Notamacropus eugenii: one gene and its partner. The protein of the gene in region 1 binds, or shares a complex with, the protein of each later gene. Links are inferred from orthologs where the notes say so. Each region holds a gene or a part of one and is shown on either strand. Other genes may lie near its edges.

Region 1 (3,746 bases):
TCTTATCTAAGTAGTCACACACATATATGCAGTCACAAGCAGTATATATGCGCATGTAAAAAAGAGACCAAATGAGAGGTTACCCAGGGAGGGAGGGTGGCCAGTGCTGGACCTGCATCTTCTGGCCATGGTCCACGGGAGAGGCCACTCTGGCTGAGGCATGGAGCAGGGGAAAGGGAGTTTCAGGCCTGGGTGGTAACAACCCTGAAGCTGGTGGTATGCCCAGACTCATGTCAGGGGCAGAGAGCAGGCCTGGAATTCACAGTTCTAGCCTATTTTCTCTGATTCTGAACTAAGATCCCACCGTCTTTGGCCTCTTTTTTCTAGTTAATTAACAATCACTTATTAATTAATAAGATTTGATAATCCATAAGTTATTAATTAAGTAATTAGTAAAAGAAGCCAGTGGTGCTCTACTAAGCCAAAGACCTGTCCGCGGCGTCTTTTTCTGAGTAATTAACAATCATTAATTAATGAATAAGATCTGATAATCAATAACAACCAGTTATTAATTAATCAGTAAAAGAAGACAGGGGCGCTCTCCCAAGTCAAAGTCCCATCTCCTGCATACAGCAGGCGCTTAATAAAGGTTACCTAGCTGATCCTAAGCCAGGGCTCGCCCCCGCTCACCCGGCACCTTTCCGAAACACTGGGTAGGGGAGAGGGGAAGGAAGTGGAGCCGCAAGCGCTGGGTTCGAGTCCTCCCTCGGTCCAGGGCGGCGGCAGACGGGTCGGCCCCACTCCAGGTTCCGCGGCCTCTCAAACTCTCGGGGTCCGCAAAGAGGGGACACTGCGGCACCTACCTCGTGGGGTGGCCGGGACGCTGCAGGGAGGAGAGGAGCTACAGAGGTGCCTGCTATCGGCGCACGAGGAAGCCCTCCGGCCCTTCCCGCCCGCGGCCACCGCGTCTGGCCTCGGCCCGGAGGTGGGTACTAGCCCGAAGGGAGGAAGAGCAGCGCGCGAAAGGCCTCCTCTCCACGCCTGCGCACCGCGCGAGGGCGGTGCGATGGGCCCGTCACGCATGCGCAGTAACGGAGCAGCCCGTCCTAGAGGCGGTGGCTGCGGCTGCGGCTGCGCAGAGCCCGTCGCAGGGAGTGAGGGGAGCGGGGGAGGCGGGGCGGCGGCGTTAGCGGCAGCGGTGGCGGCGTCCGTTCGCCCAGAGCCGGACGGACCGAGAGAGGAGGGTGGGGGTGGGTGGGTGGGGGAAAGTCAGGCGCCTGCGCAAAAGCGAGTGAGGGCGGGATTGTGCCTGGAGCGCGTGCGCAGAAGTGGGCGAGGGCGGGGCGGTGCCGCAGGCGCGTGCGCAGTGGCGACGAACGGGGCGGGGCGGGAAGCCGGGAGGCTAGGAGGGAGGGCGTGGGGGCGGGGGGGGCGAGGGGCGGAGGGAGGCGTTTCTGTCAGTTCCGGCTGTTTGTTCGGGAAGTGGATCCGCCGGGGCCCGGAGCTGCCGCGGCTCGCCAGGCCCACCCGCCCGCCGCCCGCCGCCCGCCCCCGCCCTGCGGCCCTCCCTCCCTCCCTTCCTCCCTCCCTCCTCTCCGGCCCGCCCGGCCTGGCCCGGCCCGGCCCGCCGCCCGCCATGGCCCGGGACTACGACCATCTCTTCAAGCTGCTCATCATCGGCGACAGCGGTGAGCGAGGGGCCAGGGCGGCGGCCGGGCCCGGACCCCTGGGCGGGAGGGAGGGAGGGCGGTGCCCGGGGGAGGGGACGGTCGGGGGAGGGGCGCGCGGCCGAGCGGGGCCGGGGCGCCGGCCCCCGTGACCCCGTCCGCAGGGGAGGGCAGAGGCCGTGGGAAGCCGTGACCTCGGCCTGGGCTGGGGGGCGGGGCGGGTGACCCCGGGTTGGGGAGCGGTTGCGGAGGCCCGTGACCCCTTTCCGGAGAGGAGGGTGGAAGAGGGCAGGGGTCGTTGGGGCGGCGACCCCGGCCCGGAAAGGGAGGCTGCGGGCAGGGATTGGGGATTGGGGCGCGGTGAGGATCGGGCACGATTTGGGGGGAGCAGGGGGGTGTGTGTGTCTGTCGGGGCTCCAGTGTTGGCGCTGTGGATGGGGAGGGGGGAGGAGAGCCCTGGGGGGTCGTCCCCGACTTGTGACCTTGCTGAAGGCGCTTTTCCCACGCCCTTCCCTCCCTCCCTCCTCGCCCCCCTCCCCCAAAGGAAGCAGGGGAGGTGGGCTGAGCACCACACACCAAGGACCCGAGCGATCATGCAGTCACTCAGGAAACTGAGGCCGGGAGGAGCGATTTGTCCAGTTTGCAAGTGACAAGAGTGGGATTTGAACCCAGGCCCCGGGCTCCAAGTGTAGCCACTTTCCCGGGCACTTGTGCAGAGATGGAGCCCTGCTGGGTTTCTGTTTCAGCGGGGCAGGTTCCTCTGAGGGCTGCAGAGGGGCCCTTCGTGTGGTTCGGGTGGGGAGCCCAAGGGTGAAAAGGGTCACGGGGTGACGGGGTCAGAAGGGCTGAGGAGGGCAGTGTGGCAGGTGTTCGAGGATTAGGAGGAAAGGGGAGGAGGCTTGGGAGCATGGCAGCTCTAGGCGATGGTCAGGGCCCAGTGTGGAAGAGGCTGTCATGTGATTGGTGGCAGAAGCAAGGTTGAAAGTGGAGCATATTGGGTGTTATAAAAAGCTTATGTTGGGGATGGTGCCGGGAGGATGAAAGGATTTAACAAAATTGGTTATAGACTGAGGCAGTAGGGGACAAGGGAGTAAGTCTGTTGTGGGGAGGGAGCCGGGAGAGCAGTGCTACCTGGTTGTTGGGATGGATATGGGCTGGTGCAGTGGTTTGGATAGGTCAAACAGTGGTGAGCTTTTATGGGCACAGTTGGAAAGTGAAAGGCAAGATCTCTTTGAGGTTTAGGGGATTAAAAAGATAGAGGCTGCTGGGGCTGAGGGATCCTTTCCTCGGTTTCTCTTTTTTCCTTCCTGAGTAGAATATAATTATGCTGCCTTTCTTTTGAAGATGAGTGGCCTTTAGAATTTATTTGTATACTCAGTGCACCATATGCCTTTTCAGGGGTTATATTTTAGTTCCAGATGGGGCAAAGGAATGGGGAAAGGCAGAGTTCTACGACTGAAGGTGATTTCCCTTTCCAAAGAATTAGTGTACTCAGTTGTTGTGGTTATGGGCCTTGTTCCTCAGGAGGACATCTGGATTTTGAGTGGAAAGGCTTGTTGTACTTTGAGATCTTAAAATGAAAAGCTGACTCGTAAATCTGATTCCCCCCCCTTTCTAAAGTCCAGGAAGTAGTTTTGACCTTGTTTCCCACAATACTTCTTGACATTGTGTGTGGTGTGTGGTAGGCCTCTTTAGGTCATGATTTATGTAGTTTTGCTCATATAACAGTCTATGAACATTTTCTGGCCAAGGTGTGTGGAAGTGGAAGTAAGAGAAGTTCTGGTCTGGCTTTGTGTGTAGTGACTTGTGTTGTGGGGCCTCTGGTGCTCCTCAGCCCTGAGCATGTTTGGGAGGGGAGGCTGAATGTGAGTAGCCTAACTTCACACATTATTCTGGTCTGAGAGGCCCTAAATTGTCTGCAGAGTTGGGGCTGGGAGCATTAACTGACCAGGGAGCTCATTCCCTCCACACAGACTTAAGCTCTTCATGCCTCAAGTGCAGTACTGCTCCTTTGAGGGTGTCTTAGTTTAGACTCTGAATTAAGAATGCTACATTTGGGATTTACCAGGGCATGGTGGCCACTGACCACTCCCATCCTTCAATTTGCAGTGTAGATTAACTGCTCAAACCACAGGAAAG
Region 2 (3,746 bases), on another chromosome or scaffold:
TGTCTGTTGCCTGCTTCATCATGTCTAAACTTCTTACCCAAGGATTTTAAGGGCTTCCTTAATCTTACTCTACCCTTAATTATCCAACTTGATTTCACCTGCTTTCTAACATGTGCCCTCCATCCACTCCAGTCAGGTCAAGTCTTTTCAGTGTTTTCCTGAAGGCTGCATGTTGTGGTTATTTTCATTTCTGTACCTTAGTTCATTTATCCTGAGCTACAAATGCCCTCCACCCAGCCTGTCTGCACATCCAATCCCTATACCTCCTTCAAAGCAAAGCTCAAGTCCTGTCTTTTCTAGAAAGACTTTTCTGATTCCCCCACACCAATCTGTTTCTTCTCTAAATGCATTTGGAAACCTGATAATTTAATAAGGTGTTCTTATCTAACTGTCTCATATGTGTTGCTCCTATGTCCTCCACTAGACAGCTGGCCCCCTAAATACAGAAAGTGCATTTTATACAACTTGTGTTTCTCCCATAGCACCTCCTACCTCAGAATCTTTAGAATACTTCTGACTGGGAGTGTCCTCAAAGTTCTTTATTTCCCTAGAGTCTTCCATCTTTTCCCTCTACTCCAGACTCTATTCAGGTATTCCATAGACAGAGCCAGGAATGGTCCCCCAATGTACTGGCATTTGACATCCCAGACTGCTGTGGTTCAACTAGGTTACCCAATCCTTACCGTCAGCTCTAGCTCTTATATCCCTCTGTGCGTGGCTGCTGGCTGGGATCCCTGGGAAAGGAGAACTTGGCTCCACCAAAAGAGCCAGGGGTGCCTGCCCAGTAGCTCCAAAACTGGTGGGTTGCAACTCGCTGGATTGGGGACCCTGCTGGAGGCCATCCCTGCAGCCCTTGTCAGCTTGGGCTTCCAGGCTGCTGGGGTCCAGGCAGAGTCCAAGGGGAAGAGATGGTAGGCTGTGGCTACAGCGAGCACCCTCATCCAGTGCGCCTGCCCCATCCCGATGGGCCTCAGGGATGGGTGAGAACTCCAGGGAGGAGTCGCCAGTGCTCAACCGCAGGGGAGGTGAACCTGAGCCTGCACCTCTTTTTCGGCCCTTGGCCAGTTCAGCAAAGGAGGTGACCCGTCTGGGTGGGGAGCCAGTCCCAGTCAACGAGGAGGGCCCCTCACTCAGACGAACAGGGCAGCTCAGCATGCGCTCCAGGGACCCCAGTCTGTTTGGGGGGCTCCGTTCCAGACTTCGGTCATAGCTACGGGAACGCTGGCGCCCAATGCTGAGGTTGGGAGGAGACACGTTGACATATACTTGTCCCTCTATCAAATCTGGGCCCATCCCAGAACCCACTTCTGCTGGAGAAGTCTTGTCCTTTTGCTCCTCCGTCTGGGCCTCCGGCTTTTGGAATAGGTAGTATTCAGTGGGCTGGCCTGAGACTGGAACAGGACTGCCTTTTGTGTGTTCCTCTGAGCAACTGGTGATGGAGGAGCCAGCAGGGCTGGGGGAGGACTGTGAGGACAGGTCACAGGTGACAAGTTTGTAGTAGTTCTGTGTGGCCACCACAAGGCGGGCTTGGCTCTGGAAGCAGGCGGTGAGGTCAGCTGCAGCTGGGCAGGGCTCACAGTGTGGGCGGTAGGAGTTGCAGTTGGCATCTAGTTCAGGGGAGGATGCATGAGGGCAGCCACAGCCCTCATCTCCACCCCCACTGTCGGGGTGATGGGACTCATAGGACATCTTGGACTCAGCTGGGGAGGGGTGCAGGTCCAGGTAGAAGGCTCCAGGGTCTGAGTGGCTACAGAAGGACGAGTCACTGCAGGACAGAGGGGCGGAATTGAGATTGGCACGGGAGTGACCATGCATCTTGTTGTAGAGGGCACTGAAGGTGACCAATACACCATCTGAGCTGTTGCAGGAAGAATCGCTAACATAGCCCATGGACTGATCGGCCACCTCCGATTGGCTGGATGTGCTGCTGCAACGACAGCGTCGGGATCCTGAGCCTGAACAGCCACAGACTCGGACACCTGGGTTCCTTGGGGATTCATCTAAGCTAAGTTTCCACTCCTGGTCGAAGGTAAAACCAGAGTTGTCACTGGCCCCAGGGCCACCCCCCTCATCCAGCTCCATGGTCTCTGCCTCCAGCTCTGGGGGACAATGATGCCCACGGCTGCACTTCTGTGCTTCTGAACTGCTCAGAGGCTCCTGCTCCTGTCCTTCTATCACTCCAGCTCGACTGCTTGTGGCTCCCCAGGGTTTCCCTGTTCTGGGGCCAAGTGGTGCCAGCTGGAAAGGGGGCTGTCCACTTCCATGTAGGTGAAAGGACTGTTGGGTTAAACTGTCGCAATCTCCATATGCATCTTCTGGCTCACCCTCCTTCATTAGGAAAGGATTATGCCTTTTAGGAACTCCAGGACCTCTCCCATCTCGGCTCCTGCTTTTAGGACCATCCCCAGGCCCAACAGCACCTCCTGAGGCAGGCAGCACTCTACTGTAGAGCAGAGAGTCAGCCTGTGTCAGGTCTCTGTCAGGGTGGCCCAACTCAGGTGGACAGAAGGGGTTGGTCCTTGTACTTCCATTGCCCGCACCTCCACCCCCACAGCACTGCCTGTCAGGAACCTGGCAATGCACCAAGGGAATATGGTGGACGATGAGGGTTTCTCCTGTCAGCTTGGGGGGACTATCCATTCTGGAAAGTTCGGCTGAGGGCATCAATGGCCCCAGACACTGCCCCCGGAGCCCTCTGGGGCAAGACACATCTCATCAGGAAGGCCTGGCACCTGGAGAGACAGAAAAAGAGAGAAAAGGAACCCAATGTCACCTTGCCACAAGTGAGGAGCACACAGAACTTCCCACCATACCTAACATAACCTTCTCTTCTGTACCCCCCAGGATACACAGAACCCTGCCCCATTCTCAGGGACAGAAGATCTGGAAGGATCCTAGGATCATAAGACTTAGAGCTGGAAGGGACTTGAGATCATCTAGTCTAATACTCTCATTTTACAGATGAGGGAACTGAGACCCAGAGATGGGAAGTCTCTAAAGTTACACAGGTAATAAGTCACAGAGTAAAGATTAGAACCAATACAGTTTAATCCCAAACACAGCAGGCTCTGTGCCATCATAGTCTCGAGCTGTCTGTCCCCTGTGTTATCTAAGTCCTAGACTACATCCCAGGGCCTTCTCAACCTGGTTCCCTGAACCAGAACTTAACTCTCTTTAAAGCAGGAGTTTGAACCTGAGGCCTAAGGGGTCTGTGGACAGAAACAGGGAATAAGGGGTAGAGTTCAGACTTGTACTCTTGTTCTCCTTTGCCAAATCTAGAACTTTATTACACCATAAGGGCTTATTCCTGAAAGAATAAAATATGTTGTGGGAGGACCTAGATTCAGTTTTATGTACTTCTTTGAAAATTAATGCAAGCTTACAGGCTTGACCTCTCGAGTTCCAATATGTAATAGAGATTTTTAATATTCATTGTCTAGGAAATTTTGTCCATTTTCTGTTAGTTATTCCAAAAAGAAAAAATGCAGATAAGTCTTCAACAACAAATATTACTGGCTCTAATAGGGAACCAAGAAGCTATGATGGAAAAGTGGACAATAAGAGTATCCTCAAAAATGTTCATCATCTTAGCTTTTGGAACTTAAGCACAATGTCTGAGAGACTAATAATATCACATGTTGTATGTTTATCTTTCAATATTTTTTTCCATCTTCAGTGTTTAGCATGGGCTCTCTTTTAAGAAAACAAAGTGTAGATCTTTTGAAAAATATTCTGATAATTATACT

Evidence for each region.
Region 2: the proteins of RAB35 (region 1) and RUSC2 are in contact, whole or in part, in a crystal structure (PDB 6IF2), measured with the Homo sapiens proteins. The link is inferred for Notamacropus eugenii from reciprocal best matches to the Homo sapiens genes RAB35 and RUSC2. Residues at the interface, in NP_006852.1 of Homo sapiens: Asp4, Tyr5, Leu8, Phe9, Lys10, Ser22, Leu26, Asp30, Ile38, Thr40, Val43, Asp44, Phe45, Lys46, Ile47, Lys58, Gln60, Trp62, Thr76, Arg79, Gly80, His82; in NP_001129471.2 of Homo sapiens: Val997, Lys998, Asn1001, Asp1005, Val1008, Thr1013, Arg1015, Lys1020, Glu1119, Glu1155, Leu1158, Leu1159, Gln1161, Pro1162, Leu1165, Leu1166.

The regions. Positions count from the first base shown.
Region 1 is NC_092875.1:25,157,431-25,161,176, forward strand, and holds the start of RAB35 (ras-related protein Rab-35), read left to right. Parts: upstream 1-1,441; 5' UTR 1,442-1,576; coding exon 1,577-1,628; intron 1,629-3,746. UniProt on the Homo sapiens protein: The small GTPases Rab are key regulators of intracellular membrane trafficking, from the formation of transport vesicles to their fusion with membranes.
Region 2 is NC_092872.1:79,101,924-79,105,669, reverse strand, and holds the start of RUSC2 (AP-4 complex accessory subunit RUSC2), read right to left. Parts: upstream 2,665-3,746; coding exon 684-2,664; exon of another isoform or gene 1-683. UniProt on the Homo sapiens protein: Associates with the adapter-like complex 4 (AP-4) and may therefore play a role in vesicular trafficking of proteins at the trans-Golgi network.